3 linked regions of the Lonchura striata genome follow. The protein of the gene in region 2 interacts with the protein of the main gene of each other region in a pairwise test. Links are inferred from orthologs where the notes say so. Each region holds a gene or a part of one and is shown on either strand. Other genes may lie near its edges. The genes, in order: MAL2, ARFIP2 and CEP63.

Evidence for each region.
Region 1: the proteins of ARFIP2 (region 2) and MAL2 interact in binary tests that used the Homo sapiens proteins (3 or more experiments, as listed by UniProt). The two-hybrid records come from large-scale screens. The link is inferred for Lonchura striata from reciprocal best matches to the Homo sapiens genes ARFIP2 and MAL2.
Region 3: the proteins of ARFIP2 (region 2) and CEP63 interact in binary tests that used the Homo sapiens proteins (3 or more experiments, as listed by UniProt). The link is inferred for Lonchura striata from reciprocal best matches to the Homo sapiens genes ARFIP2 and CEP63.

Annotation. Positions count from the first base shown.
Region 1 is NC_134603.1:14,192,689-14,199,940, forward strand, and holds the start of MAL2 (protein MAL2), read right to left. Parts: upstream 3,035-7,252; 5' UTR 2,975-3,034; coding exon 2,840-2,974; intron 775-2,839; coding exon 604-774; intron 1-603. UniProt on the Homo sapiens protein: Member of the machinery of polarized transport. Required for the indirect transcytotic route at the step of the egress of the transcytosing cargo from perinuclear endosomes in order for it to travel to the apical surface via a raft-dependent pathway.
Region 2 is NC_134604.1:116,966,940-116,974,312, forward strand, and holds the start of ARFIP2 (arfaptin-2), read right to left. Parts: upstream 3,039-7,373; 5' UTR 2,955-3,038; intron 2,112-2,954; 5' UTR 2,103-2,111; coding exon 2,004-2,102; intron 1,913-2,003; coding exon 1,804-1,912; intron 909-1,803; coding exon 798-908; intron 260-797; coding exon 144-259; intron 30-143; coding exon 1-29. Other genes in the region: TIMM10B (mitochondrial import inner membrane translocase subunit Tim10 B), read left to right, coding at 3,113-3,151, 3,355-3,450, 3,518-3,715; RRP8 (ribosomal RNA-processing protein 8), read right to left, coding at 4,510-4,778, 4,973-5,183, 5,712-5,937, 6,041-6,222, 6,453-6,566, 7,222-7,358. UniProt on the Homo sapiens protein: Plays a role in constitutive metalloproteinase (MMP) secretion from the trans Golgi network. May have important functions during vesicle biogenesis at certain cargo subdomains, which could be predominantly utilized by secreted MMPs, such as MMP7 and MMP2.
Region 3 is NC_134612.1:6,433,626-6,440,659, reverse strand, and holds the start of CEP63 (centrosomal protein of 63 kDa), read left to right. Parts: upstream 1-3,933; 5' UTR 3,934-3,965; intron 3,966-4,203; exon of another isoform or gene 4,204-4,570; intron 4,571-6,488; 5' UTR 6,489-6,579; coding exon 6,580-6,623; intron 6,624-7,034. Other genes in the region: ANAPC13 (anaphase-promoting complex subunit 13), read right to left, coding at 352-477, 2,653-2,751. UniProt on the Homo sapiens protein: Required for normal spindle assembly.

The sequences.
Region 1 (7,252 bases), on a different chromosome or scaffold from region 2:
TATGATGTCTTTTTTAAGGTCTAACAGCCACTCACCATTGCTGCCCTAGCTTTGAGCAATTGACCCAAAGTCACCAGTAGACTTTCTTAGGAACTGGAGGGGATATTCTGGGTGCTGAAGTCCAGTCTGTGCTACCTCAGACAACCATATCACACAGCATGTTCACAAATTCATCCTTTCCTTTATAATATTTGATATATCTTTCTACATCTCATTATTCATGAGGTGTTACTACCACTTCTCTAATAGTCAGAAAGTATTTTCTGATTCCCAGTGCACAATAATTCCTGGCCATTTAAACCAATTTCTTTCCACACCTTTTAAGTTAGTGCTCTTCCTGCTGCTCATACATTTTATGTGTTCAGAGAGGACAAGTGTACTCCATTAAACAGCTTCAAAAGCTCCTTCAGCCTCCATCATAAAACAGTTTCCTCTGCCACCTCTGTAATCTTGTTCTTTCTTTTTCTGGTTTTGAATTCCTGTTTGAAAAAACTTTGTGCTAAAGCAGAAAGCCAGGTGCCAAGACTTAGGATCGACACGTCTCATTAAATAATTTTCAGTTTATAAAACAAAGGGAATCCTTAAACAAATGAAAAATCTTACCGCCTGGTTCCAGTTGACAGCAATTCTATTTGCATAACCAAAGAGGAACACAGAGAGGAAGACAATGGAGAGGAACCACGCCGTCACTGCCACAAACATTACCCATCCCTGCAGCAGTGCCAGTGGAATTTGGGTAGAGGCGACCAAAATCCAGACTATTGTTCCAAACAGCTGCAAGGAAAGGAATACAGAGAATAAACTGGACAGCTTTTACTCAGTACTTTCTGCCTAAGAACTGATATCACACATTACATATCATCAGATGACTCTTAGAAACCAAGAAGAAACACTTCAAAAGTACTCGGAGAGCCCAAGTCCTCCTCTCAGAAATGATAGGCACTAAGTGGTGAAAATACAAAGCCACTCTGAAATTCCTAAAGGTTCTTAAAATAGGCTTGAAAATGGGATTTACAAACCCAGGTGACTTGTGTCCTGCTGAAAATTTTATCCTTACTGCAATTTTGAATAAAATATAAGAAATGTGAAAACACAGTACACACACACACAAATCTCTCTCTAAATACGCAAATTAGCACAAAAAGGATGTACTTCTACTACTTTGGATTCAATTTCATAATGTTTCGCTTTGAAGTCCTAATCAGATGAGATACAGAAAGGAGATAAAAAGACACCCATTTTTTCAATATATTTGTAATACCAAGCTGAAGGAGGACAGAAAGCATAAAACAAAAGAAAAAAACCTAGAATACAGAATAAGGTGAGTTGTAAACTATGCTGTAAAGACTAGAAAAATATAGAAGTTTCCAGAATCATCATAACTTGGAGAAGAATTCAGCAGTGCCAATTTCATTTCAGCAGACTCCTCACGGCAAATGAGTGGTAGGGACACTGTGCTAGGGATGGTGATGGAGAATTTACACACTCTAAGGCTTCCCTGGCTTAATCAACTTTTGGCCTAAGGAACACAACTATTTCTTCCTGCAAATCCTGCCTCTTAATAAAAAAACATAAATAGATGACAATTATGATTCACTCCAAGTATGTTTGTTTATGACAGAAAGATTTAAATTCATAATCCAAACTGCTGAATAGTGTCAACTAAAATATATTTCCAAGCGCAAGTAACTTCTTTCCTGTTTGAATTCCACAGATTTACAAACCAGGAAGTCAGAGGTTACATTTTCAGATTCAGATAGCTTTCTTTTGTATCACAGTTGGATAAGAGATACCTTTCAAAAGATGCCTGCTACAAAATAAGTTGGTTCCTCTCTGGTGCAGCAGCACATGTGTAAAGATGCATTGCTAGTCTCAGTTCAAAGCTCCCATGGGTTTATGTATTACTGTTCAAGTTGTTCTCTAGGGTTCCTTTTTTATCTGTGAAGAACCAAACTTTCTCTAGTTTCATAAGACTGCAGGTGCAAGTCTGTTACTTGGTGACCAGAGAGTGATGGGCAGTGAGGAAACAAAAGGGATAGCAGAAAGTGTCTGTTAAACAAAAAACAGAGACACATTAAATGCTTTCAGTATTTTCAATGTGCAGACTTGCAGGGTTCCTTAAAAATAAATTTAGAACTGTACTGTAGAGACTGCTAATCTCAGCACCCACTGTTGTGCTACTTCCCTCACGCTACACCTGTCCACAACAGCTTGCCTGTCAGAGTACAATTGGTTGGCCAGCTGAACTAACCTTTTGTCCCTACTGCCTCTGGGCCTGATTTAGTGCCCGGACTTGTGTTTCGAGTTTCAGCTTGCTCCTTACTCAGGTACAATTTTAAAGCTTGTGAGGTGGGACCCAGCTCACAGTCTGGGACCCAAGTAGTATTCTGCTCTGACCGTACGGGAAAGAGTAAATTAATAAAGTCAGAGGGGTTCTACCAAGCTTTTTTGTTTTTCATCACCCATTAATCAGTGGCACCACAGAGCGCCATATCCAAGCTCAGCTCAAAGGTCCTCAGCCCTGCGTACTCCTGCGGGGTCTAACACACACGTGCCATTGAGCACGCTCGTAGGAGTTTGCAGAGGACGCGCAACAGGCGCGCAGACAGAACCTGGTGTAACTCTCCGTGGTGCCTTTTCGGGTCGGGAGCAGAGCGTGGCTCAAAGCCCCGGACAGCTGAGGGAGCCCCGCGAAGCCCATCTGCGTGCGGGCCGCGGCCGAGGGCAGCGAGCCGGGCGGGCGGAGCCCCGGCCCCGCACCTGCCCCTGCCCCGCTCACAAGATGGCAGGCGAGCGGCGCGGCAGGCCCTGGCGCTCCCCACCGCGGCCCTGCACTCACGATCTCCAGGAAGATGACGGCTCCCGAGAAGGTGCGCAGGATCTCCAGGCCGGAGGGCAGCGTGACCCGCGGAGGCGGGAAGTAGGGAGCGGGGTTGGGAGGCGGCGGCATGGACGAGGCTCCCCTGGGCAACATGCTGCTGCGGCGGCGGCGGCCGTGCCGAGCGCGGCCAGGTGGGCGAGGAGGCGGCGGTGAGGGCGGCGCAGGTGCGGGCGGGCCGGCCGCGCCTCCCCCGGCCCGGCCCGGCCCGGCCCGGCCCCGCCCCGCAGCCGCCGCGCCTCGCCCGGAGCGGGGCCGGGCCCGGGGCCGGAGCCGGGCTCGGGCCGTGTCCGGCCACTGCCTCCCGGCTTCACGGCAGCGCGGCGCTCCGCATTCACGAGTCCTGAATCAGGCCAGCCGGACTCGGGCGTGATTTCCCAATGCCGGCTTGCAAAAGGTTTTTATTTACCTTCTGGTTACGGATGTTCGGGCTTCGAAATTGAGTCGTTGCACTGTTTTATTTAAAGGCGCCTACTAGGTTATCCATTCAAAATATTGAAAACATTTCATTTGTATCTTCTTATTGCTCGGTCTGGCTCAACTGTGTACCACTGATTAAAAGTAGTAGAAAATGTTTGTAAAACTTTGGGGTAGAGAAAGGTATACATTCATGAGACTACTTATAATCCATTTATTTTCTTATGCTTCTTTATACAAGCATCTTCTCCAGATGGAGATGCCATCCAGCAGCACTTCACTTATTTCTCCCGTTGTGCCTTAGGCTGAGATGTGCTACCTCTGGAATGACCAAGACTGTTTCACCCAATGTTATCCCATTCAGTGTTCATACTCCACACATACGGCTGCGATTTTAGAGATAACATTTTAAGAAGGTTTCATGCAAGTGTATGTAGCTGCTCTGGAGATTGAACTGACTTGGGTATAAAGACCTTATTCCTTTCTTTTCGATGCATGATGTTTCTCGGGTATGCTTTTGTGATGACAAGAAATGCCACATCCTGAGATGCCTGTCTTCCCCACCCCAATCCAAGCCCTAGGTGGAGAGCAGTTGGCACCATAAAACAGGACTCATCTGTGTTTCTGCCATACCATTCCGTACACAAATAGATTTGTGATGCTTTTAAAATGCATTAATGATTGCTTGGCTTTGAAATCTTGGCATCTAAAGGAGGAAGAAGCAAAAGTTCACATTCTTTCTTGTGCTCTGTCTTCATCTCTATGCCTCTTGTAGCTGGATGCCTCTTGAACTCTTAAGTAGGAGATGCTGGATTGAATCCCCATTAGGCTGAAGAAGGCACAGCCTCCCCTCTTTTCTGAGTGCTTTACCCCATTGCCTATCCAATGATATATTATTTTTTTCCTCTAGACCTATTTGAAAAGTGAACCTTGTGTTCCATCCTTTTATCTTCAGGAAAAGACTTAAGGCTCTGGAAGTGCATGCCTACAGGACCTGTTTTGGCTGTTTTGGAAAGGAATGGGATTGATACTTGTGCATAAGTGATTAGGTGTAGGAGGTTTGTTCTTGGGATTGTTATCTGGAGACCATATGTCAAATAAAAGTCACAGTCTGGCCCTAAATCTGTTAAGACTGCCCTGCAGAGGGAGAAGTCTGAGACAGTGGAAAACAGGGCTGGTTTATGATTCAGAACAAGAAATGTGATTGTCCTTATCTTACACAAAGGAAGTACAAATAATACTTGGTCATAAACATTTCCAGTGTTATTATTTAGCTGCATAGTTAATCTGTGTGAACTCCTAGCAGTACTAGATTTTACTAATGATTACATACCATGTGCTTGTAAATCCTATTTCTTTTTACTTGCACGTTCCTTATAACACTTATTTTATTGAAATTTAGTTGGTTCTAACAAAAAAGTCCAAATTTCACTTTCACAATTAGGTATAGATCTACTGAGTAGATTTTTGGCTGTGCTTTTTCCTGAAGCCTAATTCTCTGCTTTTTCCTAAAGCTTAAATTAAGTGTCTCTTTAAATTATTTTTGCTGTGTTCAGGCAAGATGTGCTGCATGCCCTGTGGGATTGCTTTTATACTGATTCATGTACTGTTTGAATCTTTAAAGAACTGGATTTTTTAAAGAGATTAAGTTTCCATGCAAAAGCACATGTTTGTGTTTAACTGCTTTTTAATAGCATTTTTGTATAACTAATTGCATCTTGGCATGTTAGAAGGTAAAGTAATGATGCAGCTTCCAGTCCACCAAAGTGAATAGGTAGGCAGAAGTATATTGATTCATTGTGAGTAGGAAAGTCTGTCTATACAACCACAAGGAGTAAAAATTGCTCTTAAGCAGCTGTAAAAAGCTCTATTCCCTTCATGTTCTAATGCTATGGCAGTCTAATGTAAAGGAAGCATTGTCACAGAACTACTAAACCAGTTGCTGGTTTAGCAGTGTACATGTGTACATCATACTGGATATGAAAATTACACAGCAGTCACATGCAGCAAGATTCAGACTACCTTTTGTGAGGTATGGCATTGATACTTCTGGAAGAGCTGAATATTAGTAAGGATACTAGATAACAGGTGAAAGTAATGCCAATTTCAGAACTCATGGTCCTTAATGCCTTATCTATGTTATCAGAAGCATTTCAGGAAGAGATGTTATCTCATGTCCTATGTTATGGAGTGCACCAGGGTGGTCTGCCAAAATGGTCAAAGAGATGGAAAATACAAACCAAATAATTGACAGTAACCCTGTTTTCCTGTGGCTCTGTTTATGCACAAACAGATTCCCCAAGCCAGAGTGGAACTAGGCAAGGTTTTCTAGACAGGATCCGCTTCTTTCTTGTTCTGGAGGAAGTTGCCCCTAATAGTTGTCTGTGTTTCTTTTAGATTTGCAAAGCTGCTATTTCTTAATGTGGAATACAAACTCTCCTAAGTTAGTTACATATCAAAAATAGAAAGCCTGGAGTTGATCATGCAACACAGGCTTTTTGTTTATGGATGAAATAATTTAGCATGCTCCTGGAAATTTCATACAGGATTCTGATCTCACACTGGTACAAACTCTGGGGTCATTACCCCTTAGCCAGTGAAATTAAATTGGCATAAAACTGGCTTGCATAAGATGAATGATAAGGAATGCCTTTAGCATCATTTGTTGTAGTGTATTTAGTAAGTGGTAACAGAACTTCAGGATCATGGTTGGATCTATGCATATTATGAATTAGTGTGCAAATACCACCACATTGTTGAGGTTTCTTGTGAGGCAGTGCAACAGTTTTAATTTTTTTAACAAGCAGGGCCAAGTTTGTGAATGCATGTTGCCCCTTCTTGCACCAAGAGGAAAACAACTGTTGAAATTTCTCACTTAATCCAGTTAAACTGAGCTTGGGATGTGTGCTGAGGAGATGAAGATAAATGTGCCACCTGTTTGGTCCACCAGTGCCAGGGATGGCTGGTTACCAAACCAGTCCCTGGAGCAGCTTCAAGCAGTCTCAGAGCTGCTCTCAGCAGCATTTTCTGGCTGGCTCATAATGCTATGGTGGTACTTTGGACATGGCCTCTTCCTGCAGAAGTGTCTTCCGTGCCCAGAGCCATGGGATGAAAGGCATTTTCCTGTCTGCTTTGGCTCTCAGGGTGCCCTTTGAAGCAGGGAATCCTTTGCTGGCTGGTTAGGGGTGTTTGAGGATCCCTTCACACAGGCACCACACAGCTGGAGGCTGGCACAGAGCCAGGGACCCTGCTGGAGTCAGCTGGTGTTAGGGAGGTCAGGCTGAGGTTCCTCACCTGTTCTCATAACATTGTTTCCATGTTCCTAAGCTTACCAGCGGTTCATTTTTGACTTGGTGGCACTGCTGGTCTCTAGCAATACAGTATAGCATGCCAAGGGCCAATTTTCCTTTTATTTACTTTAAGAAATTCCTTTTAGCTGTGTAAGGGTGCAGCAAAAGTAAAAATGCAGAATCTCTTAATAGCAAAGAGGAAGATCCTGACCTGAGATGGTACAGGAGGCAAGGTGGGTAGAGAGGGACATGGCAGAGCAAAGCCAAGTTACCTAATGGGAAAATGTCTCAAGAAGTCAAGTGTTCTGTTCTTGGCATAGGTGAGCCAGGAAAAATGGTTTGCATGGATTGTCCTCAGAAGAGAGTGTTAAAGTCTCAGAAGTACAAACTGGGAGCATGATATTGTTGGAGATGAGGGATGAGTAAATAGCACTGATTGTTTAGGACAGAATTGCCCAGGGAAAACAGTGCACAGACTGCACAGCAGCAATACATTTTTTTATCCTGTCCCCTTCCAGCTTCATGGTATAAAAGAGGACCAGTTGAGCTGGTTGCAGGGGGGCTGAAGGAGGCTGTGCCAAGTGCTGCCTTTGCAGATGCAGCACAGACCCGTGCCTTTGGTACTGCTGGTAGCACAGGCCTCTGCTCACTCTGTCGGCACTCAAGA
Region 2 (7,373 bases):
AAGCGCTCCGAGAGCAGCTGCTTGGTGCACTGCAGCAGGGGGACACAGGGCCCCAAGGCGCCTGTGAGTCCCCCGAGCCACACCGAGAGCAGCTCCTCATGGGAGGGGAGCAGGAAGGCCCACTGGTGTCCCCTCACACTCACCTTGTAGGTGTTGATCCCCCACTTCTTGACAATGTCGAACTTCTCAACGGCAATGCCGCGCACGACCTCTTCTCCACCAGGCGGGGGTCCTGGGGGTGGTGGGTGCAGCCCAGGGCCTGGCACAGGGACAGGAATATGGCACCAGCTGCACGAGGGCGGCAGCCACGGGGAACGGGCAGCCCCAGCCTCCAGAGCCCTTGTCCTGGAGCTGCTATTTCTACAACAGCATGCCCAGCTCCAGGCATATGCCCAGCACTGGCTCACAGGCATTGTGATGAGGACCCTGCTCCTGCCAGCCCCCCTGAGGGTCCCACACAGGGGCACAGATCCCAGCCCAGCCATATCTGCTTGCACCAAGCCCTGCCCCATTCCTGCCGACTGCTGTCACCAGGCTGGACACAGGGGGAACACTGCCCAGTAGTACTGGGAGCCCCTCAGGTGGGCTCCAGGGGCAGGGTGGGCCCCTCTGGCCAGGACCCACCTCTGAAACCCCTGGGCCCACCAGTGCTGTCGTCTGTCCCAGCACAAGGATCAGCCCCAGGACCAGGCTCTGGCCATGACACAGCCGCCATGGGGGTTCTTACCAACGTCCCTAGGGAGGCCCGGGGCCCCCAGACCCAAGGGACGCCCGGGGTGGAGTGGGGGGCGCAGTACCTGCGGGAGCCGCGGCCGGGCGGGCCATCCTACGGGCAGCAGGCGCGCTGGGGGCAACCGACGGTCCTCGGGGGGGGTGAGGGTGGACAAGAGAGCCTGGAAATGGGGGGGCTGCGGGGGCTGAGCAGTGTGGGGCAGGACAGGATGGGGGCACAGGGCATGGCACAGTGGGGTAGCCAGGGCAGAGGGACGGGGGGGCAAGGGACAGGGGCGAGTGCGCGGGCGGGCGGCAGCGGGAGAGCGACGGCAGCAGGTGAGCGTTGGAACCCAGAGACACTGCCACAGCCTCACAGACGGATGCCCCAGCCCAGGAAACCCCCACCTCTGGCCCCTGTGCAGGAACCCCTGCACTCCAAGGGCTGGGTAGGCCTGGCATCACGAGCACGCTGGGACACAGAGACACAGGGACACCGGGCCAGCAGTGGCGGTGCTCCGGGGAAGTGCACACCCGTGCAGTCTCCCTCTCTGCCCATATGGACCTTCCTCAGGCCCTGGGGAAGATCTCTCAGGGAGAGATCTGCATGGAACAAGGACAGTGCTGCCAGGTCTCCCAGGGTGCAGAGCCCAGCTGGCCCCGCTGTGGCCCGGTCTGACTGGGACAGCAAGAAGGGGTCAGCAGAGTGTGGGCTTGTGCCCCTGCCTGCCCCCTCATCCCCAGCACACTCCAGAGCTCCCGCTGCACATGGACCAGGACACAGCAGGGATCCTCCACCAAGCAGGGATTCAGAATCTCACGGGGATGTCCTGACCAAGGGGATGGAAATTCCCAGCAGAGCCCACCCTGTGACAGGGGAGCAGCCCAGGGAGAGCGGAGCTGGGGCAGCAGCCCCTCCTCTGCCATCAGTGCACACTGCCACATGCTGCCCCTACACAGAACCCAAGCCCACCCAGGAGCCACCTCGGCCAGGCTGTGGCACAGCCTCGTGTCATGAGTCAGGGGCACTGAGAAGAGATGAGCCCCTTGGTCCCACGATGGCCCCATTCCCTCCCAGCCCAACTCCACTACCTTTGATGGTGCCGGTGGGGATGATGCCCTCAGCCGTGCCCCCGTAGCCACCTGACACAATGCTGGTCTCATTCAGGTTGGGTCCTGACACCATCACCTGCTGCAGGTCCTGGGGGGCAGAATAGCACAGGGGCTGAGAGGCAGAGATGGCACAGCCCTGGTACAACCCAAACACCCCCTAGGGTTCCCGAGCTCCAGACCTGCTCCAGGCCATCGTCCTCGGGCAGGCTGCTGGTGTCCCCGTTGCTGCTGATGGGGATCTCCATGGTGGCTGCCTTGCTCAGGATCCCGTCCGACATCCTCAGGGCCTGCAGGGACACGGCCGTGGTGCTGGGGCCAGGACCACCGCCCGGCCGGGGGCAGCAGCCACAGCCGGTACTGCGGGGCCGTGTTGGGACAGCAGGAGGCTTCGGCGCAGAGAGAAGGGCCCACATCGGCAGCCGCTGGCACCGAGCAGAGGCTGCCCGCTGCCTCCTGCAGCCACTCCCAGCCCGGCCCCACCGTCTCTCGGGACACCCCCGGCCCCCAGAACCGACCCGTGGGGTGGCACATCCCAGAGACCGCTGCGGCTCCCACACCATCACGCCAGGGCTCCAGGGCTCCCCCGCCCCTCGGGCCGCACTCCGTGCCCCCTCTCACGAACCCTGCCGGGATCCCCGCAGTCCGTGCCCCGGGACAGCGGCGCTGGCAGCGCGCAGCGCGGCGCCGGGAGCCACGTCCGCAGGAGAGCGGGAGGGGGCCCGCTGCGCTCGGACCGGTCCGGGCACATTCGACAGCAGGCGGGGCCCGGGGCGGGCTCCCGAGAACCCGTTACCTGCGACCTGTGCCCTCCCCGGCGGGGACAGGGCCCGGCCCAGCGCGGGGGGCGAGCCCTGCGGGCAGAGGCTGTCACCGCCCGGGGCCATCCCGGCCGCGGAACGGCCCCGCAGCCCCACAGCCCCCGCGGCGGGCGGGGGCAGCGCCCGCACGGAGCCCTCCGCAGCCACGCACGGCAAGGCCCCGGGACGGGACCGACCTCCGAGGGAACCCCCGGTGGCCGCTCCCGGCGGAGCCGGCCCGAGCGGGCGGCGGCGGCCGCAGCCCGGCTCCCGGGGCTCTCTCGGCCAGGCCCCGCTGGCCGTGCGCGGCCCCCCGGTGCCCCCCAGCCCCACCTGCGCCCCGGCCCCGCCGGGCCCCCCGCGCCGCTCCCGCTCCGCTCGGCCCGGGCGCGCCGCAAGTGCCGTCAGGGCCCGGAGGTGGCGTCATGGCTGAGCCGGGCGGATGTGACGGCGCGGGGAGTGCGGCGGGAGCGGCCCGGGCCGGGCCCGGCATGGACCCGGCGGCCGAGCACCGGCAGCAGCTCCGCAGCGTGAGCCGGGGGCGGCGTGTCCCGCCAGGCCTTCGGGGGGGTCCCGGGGCTCCAGCTGGGGGGTCGCGAGGTGCCGGGGTCGCAGGAGAGCCGGCGGGGCCCTGGAAGGGACTCGGGCTGGCCGGGGGGCGCGCCGGGACTCGCGGTGGGTTTCGGGGGTACCGGAGCGGCTCCGCCCGGTGTGATCCGCGCCTGCTCCCCAGCTGCGGGATTTCCTGCTGGTCTACAACCGCATGACCGAGCTCTGCTTCCGCCACTGCGTCTGCAACCTCAACTACCGGCTGCTCACGGGCCGCGAGGTGAGCGGGGCCCGGGGGCCGCGGGCCGGCTGCCCCCGCGCCCCCTGACCCCCGCCGTGCCCCGCAGGAGTCGTGCCTGGACAGCTGCGCCGCGAGGCTGGTCCGCGCCAACCACCGCCTGATGGGCGCCTACGTGGGACTGGTGCCGGCGCTGCTGCAGCGCCGCGCAGCCGAGCACGGCGCTGCGGCGGGGCCGCCCGCACTGCCGGCCTCCCCTGGACCGGCCCCGGGCCCCGCGGAAGACGCTCCCGCTGCCGGCACGTAGAAGCCCCTGGCCGCAGCTCCCCGCGGCCGTCGGACGCAGCAGCAGCCCTGCTGCGCTGGAGCTCCAGGCTGGAGCAGCATCCGCGCTGGGCCCCCGGAGCCCCGAGCAGCGGCTGGGCTATGCAGGGCACCGAGGATGGGGGGCACAGGAACAGGGGAAGGCCCCCCCTAGCCCTCCTGGCTGTGGATTTCTGGGAAGTGGAGTGTGAATACCAATAAAACATCTTCACAGTAATGGCTTAGTGTGACACGTGGGGAGGGCACCAGAGCCCTGGCCCCTGTTCGCTGCTGTGTGAACCCATGGCACAACAGGGAATCCAGGGAATTGCACCTCACTGGGAGACAAATGTCTCCCTACAGGACGCCCGTGATCACCGGGACATTGCAGGGCCCTGAACATTCTCACTGCAACTGTCAGGTGCAGAGCAGGCACTCAGGGCAGGGGGAGGGGGCAAGGTGGGGGTAGATGTCAGGTGCTGCCAGGCCAGTGCCCACCAGCTAAGGGCGTGTGTATGCGTGGTCCCTAGGAGATCCTGGCCTCTTCTCTCCCTGCTGCAGCCCCTGGGCAGAGGGCGTGAGCTGCGGGTCCGGGACAGGCCTTAAGGCAGGTAAGCACAAGCCCCAGTACAGAAATAAATTGATATATTCCGTGTACAAAACATGCTCCTGCAGGCCCGGCCGGGCACTCCCGCGCATATAAATAAGGCCCGGCCCGACCTCCCCTCTGTCCTGCCCACGGGGGCCAGCGCCTGCGCCGGGGCCACCCCTCCCGCGGGACCCCCGGGCTGGCCGGGGTCACTTAAGGTCCACATCGAAGTCCAGCACCAGCAGCTTGGTCTCCTCGGTGCCATTGCGGCTGCCCACAGCACACACCAGCTTTGTGTTGGAGGCGCGGATGCGCCACACCACCCCACCCGAGCCCCCGCTCTCCAGGGCCACCAGGTTTCGCACAAACTCCCCTGTCTTCAGGTCCCACAGCTTCACTGTCCCGTCATCCGAGCTGGTCACCACGAACTTGGAGCTGAACTGCAGGCAGGTGACGGCACTCTGGTGCTTGCTGGGACCTATGGGGAGGCACCCATGAGCCCCATGCATACCTGGGCCACCCACTGCTGTTGACATGGATCCTGCCACAGCTGGCAGCTTACAGCCAGCCCAGTCTCAAGGGCAAGGAGCTCCCTCCCAGCCCTGCCCCTTCCCAGCCCCCTGATGGAGAGAACATCCCACTGCCCCCCAGGGGTAAGGTATCCCCTCTCACCCTGCAGCGTCTGCAGGCACTGCCCTGTCTTGATGTCCCAGATCTTGACGGTGGAGTCGGCGTTGCCGGACACCAGGATGTTGTCACGCAGCTCCATCCCGCTGGTGAGTGACTGGTGCCCCATGAGCGTGTGCAGGCAGTTCCCGCTCTCCACATCCCACACGCGGATTGATGTGTCCAGGGACCCACTCACGATGTGTGTCCCATCAAACTGCCAGAGAGAAGGGGTCCAGCTCAGGATCGAGGACAGGAGTGTCCCTGGTTTGGGGCACAGCCCACAGCTCCGGCACTCCCTAGTCTGGGATACAGCACGCCCAGTTCCAGCACCAGCGACCCCAGTTCAGCAGCTGAGACACAGGCTCATGTGCCTCTTGGCTTTTTGAGCTGTAATGCTCCAGGGAAGGGGCATGGACGAGTGTTTGTGTCCACAGCATATGTGTGTGGGAAGTGGGATCAGGGGGGCAGAGACTGTCCCCAAAGGACACAAACAGGGTCCATGTGTCCTTGCAGGGCAGATACAGCCCCTTCAGGGCACACATGTCCCTGCAAAGCTCACAGGGCCTTGCACGACACACGCACAGCCTATTTGTCCCTACAGCACATGTGGGACCTTTGGCACAGCTTGTACCCATGACTGGAAGGCAGGGGAGAGATAGCAAGCCAGCAGGAAGGCAGGTTGTACCTGCAGGGAGCAGGGAGGGCAGGGGAGCAGCAGGAGGGAATGTGTGCAGGGCCGTACCTGCAGTGAGTAGACACGGTTGGTGTGCCCCTGCAGCGTGTGGGTGCAGCTCTCGCTCTCGGGGTCCCACACCTTGACTGTGTAGTCGTAGGCACCACTGACCACCTTGTTGCCATCATACTGGACGCAGCGCACGGCTGCCACATGGCCCATCAGCACATGCAGGCACTGCCCCGTCTCGATGTCCCAGAGCCGTAGCGTGGCATCCCGCGAGCCGCTCACCACCCTGCGGGTGAGGGGACACCTGGGGCCCAGCTGCCAGGGCAGCCTGGGGCTAACAGCCTCCCCGTGGATATTGTCCTCCCTCACACAGCACCCACAGCCCGTACCTGTTGCCGTGCAGGTGCATGCAGCGCACGGTGGAGGTGTGTCCGTACAGCGTGTGCACGCACTCGCCGCTGTCAGCGTTCCACACCTTGAGTGTGCGGTCAGTGGAGCCGCTGATGACAATGCTGTCCCTCATCTGGGAGGACCAAACCCCCCCAGTGTGGCCCACCAGCGTCTGCACACACTGTGGGGAACAGGACGGGAGAGGCAGGTGAGCCTCTCGCACTCCCCCACCCCAAAACAGCACAGAGGAGCAGCACAACTCTGTGTCCTTGTCATAACGGGCCCAAACCGACCCCAGCAGTCAGGGTGTAGCCCCAGCTGTGCCCAGCACAGGGAGATGGTCCCTGCCCCAAGCCCCTGTGGCGCCAGTGACAATGCCACACTCACTTGCCTGGTGACAGTGACACTCACCTCCCCTGTGACAGCTGACCACACTTTGAGTGTGTTGTCATCAGAGCCGCTTACTATGCGATTCCCACAGAACTGCAGGCAGGTGATCACATGGTCGTCGTGGCCCTTCAGTACCTGTGGGAGCACAGGAGGGTGTGGGGGGCAGTGTGGCCCCACCCAGCCTGCAGGATCCCCCAGCATAATGAGCAGTGGGAAGGTAGCAGGAGCTGTGGGGAGGAAAGGCAGACGGGTCTCCAAACCACCTGCACCCCCTGGTGCTTCTGCAGGGCAGGGGAGCTGGGGTGTGTGGTGTGTCTGCTGCAGGGCCGGGGGTTACAGCAGAACAGGGAGTAGGAGGCTCAGGAACCCAGCAGCAAGAGAAGGGGTGGTGAGGACTCTGTCCAGGGGCAGGAGGGACCCCCACGGAGAGATGACCAGGGTTCTGGGACCCTGCACAGAACACAGTTGAGCCCTGTGACACTGCACTTTCCTTGGGTGCTGAGGCTGGCTGCAGCCCTGGATGGGGCCTTGGAAAGGGGCAAATGAAAGGACCCCCTTCTCCAGGCCCAGGAGATCTCATTTCTGCTGTCCCACTGCTCTGAACAAGCCGGATCTGCTCCCCATGGCAGATCCTGCGCCAGCTTCCCCACACCAGGGGCCTGAGGTCTGTCCCCAGAGGGACCCCCACCAGCCCCTCAGCCCACCAGGGTCCACCCCTGGCAGGAGCACTCCCAGGCTCACCCTGGGGACCACAGCTCCCTGGAGTCAGCACTGGGACACCCAGACCTACTTTGGGGGGCCGCAGCTCCCCACTGCGCCAGTTCATGTCAATGCGGTGCTGACGCAGGAAGGCGAATTTCCAGGGGCTGTACATGAATCCGGGACTGAGCAGGCGTCGCTTCCTCAAGTGTAGGGGCTCCTCGATCCCTGCAGGGGACAACA
Region 3 (7,034 bases), on a different chromosome or scaffold from region 2:
CACTGAGAACTTCGAAATCAATTGCAATTTGAGACAGTAAAAACTTTTTAATCGTGTAGAAAACATTTAAGATCAGAATTGGCACCAACTTAAGAACAATTTAACAGAAAACATGAAATAATCTTATAAGCATGAAACATTTTGCACTTGGCTCTGAGATGTCAGAGCCTCTGCTATTTCACATTCAAGAAAGAAGCATTTTAAAGAAGCATTGTGAGCAGAACCACTGTTGGAATCTGAAAATCTGGAATGCTGTTTCCTCCTTAGGGCAGCTTATGACAGCAATGGTCAGCCAAAAAAATATTTTTATGTTGCATTCATGCATCCACTGTTAGAAATCCCACTGATTCACTAATTTCCTGTGGGTGGAACGTTTTCATGGAGATACTGGAGAGCCAAATCTGTCCACTTCATTTCTTGCTCTTTCACAGACTCAGTGGTGCCACCGTTGTCTTGCTCTGGTTCAGGGAGCTCATTCTGAGAACAAAACACAGGTAGAATGCATTCCACATGTAATACACTTTCTGCAAGCAGCAGGTTGTTATGATTAGTATGGATAGATACAAAACCCACAAACGAGACCAGAGGGTGCATCTGAACAATAAATATCATACATACTGATCCACTTAAAAATATTGCTGAGCCGCATCATGAACAGTATTCTTTTCATTTGAATATGGTTATTCTTTTAATTTGAATATTCATTTGAATGTGTTTAATCTGAAAGGTAAATTGTTTTCCAGGACCCTGGGGCCTTGCTATACACTCAGACTGCACACACAGTGAGGGAGAATATACAGCAAATGCAAAGTAAGTAAATAACAGTACAATGCATTTATTCCACTGTTTGTTTGCAATGTGCTGTTTCTGCTGTTGCCAAGAATACAAATACTGCAGACAAATGGTTCTGTAAAATGTTACTTTCTTATGGCAGGTTAGAAGTCCTTCCTGTCTGTATGCTGGAGTCAGGTGTAGCTGTGCTGGATCAACAGCAGAAGCCAGAACCCCCTGCCAGGTGTGCCCCAGAGCTGCTCACAGCACAGTAAAGGGAAGGAAAGTTTAACAGATTTCATTTTACTTCCTTCTATTATTTGTTCTCTGTCTTGCTGTATTGGTGTAGTCACACTGAGTGTGTGCTATTCTGCCAGATACCATTTGGGCAGGAATTCTGAGTTCTAGAATTTAGAGTTCTAGAATTTCCTCTGGAAATCCCAGCTGGAGCTAGATAAAGTGTTTCAGCTTTGAAAACAATGAATGATTTGAACACATCTGAGTTCCCAGAAATGGCTTGATTAAGCACTGGAGCAGATTCTCAGGACAGGCTCAAATACCACTTTCACAGCCATTCTGGTGCTCCTTTGCAATGTCCCTGAGTAAGTCCCCTGTGAATTCATGCTGTTTTCTCTATGTGATCAGAGCCAATCCCATCTCTGGGGATCTTTATATCCACAGCCAGGCCTTTCTATTGGTAGTTGGTGAGGCTTCCTTCTCTGAGGCTGTCATTGTATGTGACTGTAAGCCATCACGAGATGGCTCTAAGGGAAGAAACAATAATGTTTGGACTCAGGGTAAAGGCAATTGTCAACAAGGAACCTGTTTATGATACTCGGCTTGCCTAATAAAGGCAAAGGAGGGTTTGTGCTCTTTTAGCTGAGAATCACGCTTCTGCAAGATGCTTCCCTCAAGCCCAACTCTTGGCAGGAAAATGTGTGCTGTACATATGGACTTTGAGTTGTGCAGCTGCTCCTCGCCCTCTCTGAAAAGCCAGTGGTGGCAGGGCTGACGCTTGAACCATGCCACAAATTTGGAGATGTCTCTCTGCTGAAAGAAACCCCACAATCCCCACGGCTGCTTTATGTGAGCTAGCTGGGGTAAAGCTCGTGTACCAGAGAGAAAAAGGGAAAATCCTCAGCTACCTCTAACTTCCCTGTAAGTTTCAAAATAGCCAAGGAAAGGTGTCAGTGTGGGAGATCTGAAGCTTTAGCTCTGGGCTCTGTGGGATCAGCAGTAGCTTTTCCCCTGCTGCCCCTCTCTGACTTTGCAGCTGTACCCTGGATGAAAAGAGAGGTGCCATGCCTTGGACACATCACCACAGGCAAGAGTCCTGCTGCACCTGCCAGTCCTTCACTGCTGTCCCGGAACTTCCAACAGCAACACTGAATCTGGAAAAGACTGCTTTGAAACACTTACGAAAATGTCTCAGCTTCTTTTAATGGCATTGCAGGAAGCAGATATAAAGTGTAACCAAGACTGGAACTGTATGTGAGACTGATCCTCTGCTCTCCCAACAACCAGGAAAGTACCTCAAACACCAGGAACAAGAAAGGGAAGCAGAGAAAAAGGATGATTCTACTTCTCCCTGATGCCAAACCTAGGAGAGTGCAATGGGAAAGGAACTCCAGTTCTGAGAGGATTCAGCAACTGGTCAGGGGACAAGCAACAGAAGCATCCATGTCCTCATGCACTCAGGAATGACTGGCATATAGGGCACAGAAGGAGTCCCTTCCGTGAGAGACTGGATCTTCCGTGGAGATCCAGGAGCCTCTTGTACAAATTAGCCGCACCACGAGGAACATTCTGTGCCTTTTCTTGGAAGGGACTGTGATGAACGCAGCAGCCTTAACTCAGATTGATAAGTAGCAATTCACCTACCAGAGGGATGGCCACATCCTCGTAGGGCAATTTATCTTCCCTCCACGCATCATCGATCAGATCCAGGATCCTGCCATCCCTCTGCACCTCGCTGTCCATCGTCACAGCGGCGAGAGCAGCTAAATCTGTGACACAAAGCAGATGCTGTTTTAGCAACATCCCCAGCCAAGGAGCTGGAGTCTGGACTATTGGCTTGCTCCAGTTTTGATGAAATCCATATGAAATTTAAACTTACAAGGATACCTTGATTTCCCTAATCCACACAAAAAAGGGTTATAACCACATAGAACAACTTCATCTGAAAAGAACTCTATCAAAGTGAATTGCAGACTGATATGCACTGGAAATTAATATATAAAACCAGATGGTTATTACTGATATTTACATGTATTTTATATCTACTGACTGACTTTTAGAAGTCTAATTTGAGTGAGTTTGAGCACCTAGAGCTGCTCAGAAGCCTTTGCTGGCTGCTGGCTTACAGCTCCTGAGCAGTGACGTGCCTCACCTGTCTGGGAGAGTCACAACAAAGGACTTCAGGGTACCCAGAATTCTGCCCGAACCTGAAGTGCAGGAAACCGGTGAAAGAGAAGCAAAACGAGACCCATCTTTCACCCGCATCTCCTATAATTACTCCAGACTGTTTAACTGTACTCTGCCCTCCTTGAAGGATCACCTCAGGCCCTCGCCCCGGTGTGATGCTGCGGGGCGGCAGCAGCAGGCAGCCCGACCCTGGCGGGTGTGAGAGAACGGGCACTCGTTCAAAACCGAGCCAGGCCTGGCACTCGCCGGCTGCCGGAGCCGCGATGTGGGCGGCGATGGGCACGGGGCTGAGCGCACCCCAGCCCCGGCGCGCTGCGCTCCCTGCCTCTCCCGGCCAGCACGGCTCCGTGTTCCGCGGTGTCCCAGGGCTGTGTCCCAGGGCTGTGTCCCAGGGTTGGGTTGTGTCCCCGCGGTGTCCCAGGGCTGTGTCCCAGGGTTGTGTCCCAGGGTTGGGTTGTGTCCCCGCGGTGTCCCAGGGCTGTGTCCCAGGGTTGGGTTGTGTCCCAGGGCTGTGTCCCAGGGTTGGGTTGTGTCCCAGGGCTGTGTCCCAGGGTTGTGTCCCAGGGTTGGGTTGTGTCCCCGCGGTGTCCCAGGGCTGTGTCCCAGGGTTGGGTTGTGTCCCAGGGCTGTATCCCAGGGTTGTGCCCCCCTGTCCCCGCGCTCCCCAGCCCGCCCTACCCTGCCCATCTCCGCGGCCGCTGTTGCGCAGGCGCGGCCCCAGCGCATGCGCAGCGCTGCCGGGGCGGGGCCGGGCCGTGCCCGCTGCCAGGGTGGGAAAGGCGGGAAGGAGGGAGGGAGGAAGAAGGAACGGAAGAAGGAAGGGAGGAGGGCGGCTCGGCCAGCCAGCGCCGGGGTGTCGGGCAGCCCGCAGCGGAGCTCCCCGGGGCGCGGCGCCGGAGGGGCTCGGGCAGCGGAGCTGTGCCGCGGCGGGCGCGGGGCAGGCGCTGTGAGGGCTCGGCTGCGGCTGGGAGCAGCGGCGGGAGCGGGGAGTGCCGGCCGGGCCCGCTGGCCCCGGCCGCTGCACGGACCTAAGCGGCACCAGGGCCGGACATTAGGAGCAATTCCTTCACAGAACGGGTGATTAGATACTGGAAAGGGCTGCCCAGGGCGGCGGCGGCGGCGTCCCCATCCCTGGAGGTGTTTAAGGAAAAGACTGCACGCGGCACTCGGTGCTCTGGGCTGGGTGACAGAGTGGGGATCGGTCACAAGATTGGACTTGATGGTCTCAGAGGACTTTTCCGAGCTCAGTGACTCTGAGATTCTCGCCCTGGCGAGGGCTGGTTCACTTCGGGCTCCTGCCGCAGGTGCCGTTCCTGCCGCTGGCAAGCGGAGCTCGCCCGTGGTATTGCTTTTGGGAGCTCCTTTTGTGTTCATTGTAAGCATGCTTCCAGCAACGCTTTAAGATTGCATCTTTCTGTGTTTCTAAGTGCGAAGTAATCCCAGTCTTGTCGCATGGGCACTATTCTTAAGTCCTCCTGTGTATTGTAAAGTTCTCTCCACTTCACTCTGCTACAGTTCTGCCTTGAGCTGGAATGCTAAACCTTTTTTATTTTTAAATGTGTTGTCTTGTTTTGGACTTTTTTTTTTTTTTTTTCAAATACTTCACATTTCTTCACTTTCAGAGGTGATCAGCCAGCTTTCCTTCCTTCAACTGTAGTTAATGAAGGAGATTGTTTCCTCTTCTGGGTCTTTACTCAGGTTCCTGTAACTTGCACGTTGCAACTTGCAAGCATGAGAGGCCAAAATGTAATACTAAGTCAGCAAACTGTACGTAGCATAGAACTGGCTAGAGGTGTCTGATTTTAAGGCTTTTCCCCAAAATCTGGCTATGCCAACTGTGGCTGTGCCTCCCATGGGAGCGTCCAAGGCCAGGTTGGACAGGGCTTGGAGCAACCTGGGATAGTGAAAGGTGCCCCTGCCCATGGCAGCAGTTTAGCATGAGATGGCTTTAAGATCCCTTCCAACCCAAACTGTTCTGGAATTCTATGCTGTCTGTCTCCTCATCTCTCTGCCCACTGAAAATTGATTCTGTGTAGGTGTGATTAGAATGAAAGAGGAGAGCTGCTACTGTCTAATGTCTGCTGTGGCCACCTGGAGAGCTCTTGGAATGCTGTCAGCAGCTCAGGGGATCTGCTCATCTGCTCTCCTCAGCACCCTGCCCTCAGCAGAACCACAAAGTTGTTCTGCATACTGATTGAGTTTTGTTACAGCACCAAAGACAGATGAAACAGTGTCAGAATAGGAATAGGATTTTTCTCTGTGCATTTTTTATATGGCTGTGGTTTAAAACACTGCTCCCAAGGACAGGTTTTAATCTCTGAGTTGTGTTTTTAAGTGCTGTAGGAGCACGATAGAAGATTCTTTGGGAAAGAGAATGAAGCTGAGCCTGCATTTGTCAAAGTCTCCCTTGCTGTGACCTGTTCCCCTTTTGCTGATTGCTTAATAATGTTATATTAATCTTTGAGGAAAGATGGTGGAAGAATTAATCTTCAGTACTTGGAAAATGTGTAGATTTTGGAAACAGAAATTTGTGTTAATAGCTCTGGACAAGTTAACCATTTTTATGTTAGCTGCAGTTTCATGAAGGAGATATTGAAATAAATTCTGGCTTCCTGGCTCTGGTTGCGTGGAAAATTTTTATTCCCCATTTTTGGCTTTAATGTAAACTCTTCTCACTTTCACCACAATATGAAATTTCTTTGGGTATGCATGTGTTTGTTACTTAAAAGGTGAATTTTTAACTGAAGCAATGTACTGCTACTATAAAGCTGTTCAACTTATTTTCATAATTTAAGAGGAAATTTTAAGGAATTTATGTTTTCTTAAAATTCCCACAACTGTATGAAGAGCCAGTGTGTTCTGAATGCTGTGGTAAACTACATGGTCTCTTTAAGCTAGTCTATAATAGAGGCCTGGAAAATATGTAATTTATGGATGAATTCTTACTGCTACTTGCTGGTGTTTTCTCTCTGAAGTGACAAACTTTGAAATCCAAATGTTCCTGTTTCTCCACATGCTGGTGCTCCCAGTAGATCTACCAGTCCTTCTGTTGAGTTCACACAAGTGCAGAGTCTAATTGCTGCTCTCTGAATTTATTAGATCACATGATTATATCACTTCAATTTGGTAGTGTTGGATGATAGCATTGGGTATATTTTTCTGATAGAAAAATCTGTTTTCCTCTGTTTGGCTTGTAAGTTCATGAAGGTGCCATTGTTTTCCTCACCTGTAATTCCATATTCTTTGTATGCTTTTTGACTTCTGTGCTTTTTGGGCTTCCACTTTTCCTGCAGTTGGATGGAGAAGCAGCCTGGTTTGTGCATTACCATGGGTGACCACTGCTTTCCTGTACTTCCCTAGTACTGAAGCCACCAGGATTCAGTGATGGAGGCTTTGCTGGAAGGAATGCAAAGAAATGGGCAGGGGAGGTATGTATGCAACTGTACACAGCAGTCATTCCAAATGATTTAAGTGTTAACCTTGCCTCTTATTCAGAATAAATCCTCTGGTGTAAGTGTGCAGTGGCCCTCAGCTGCTGCAGAAGCGAAGTCACTGGGGGAGCTGGCTCTGTGCTAAACCCTGCTTATAGTCTTAATTGTCAGAAATTTAGTTGTACATCTTCCTGAAACCTCAGCCTCTTTTTCTCAGTTGTTGTTGTAAACTATTCTTACTGTCCAACATCAGGAGCAGTAGTAAATAGAGTTGTGAATAAATATTTATTTTGTAACAGCCTCGCAAGGTTAATGAGATGTGACTTTGTTATCTGATTTCACTGAAAACATCTGATTATTTCCTGCTTGTGTTGAAACTGCAGAGTCCCACTCAGCTCTGAGTGAATC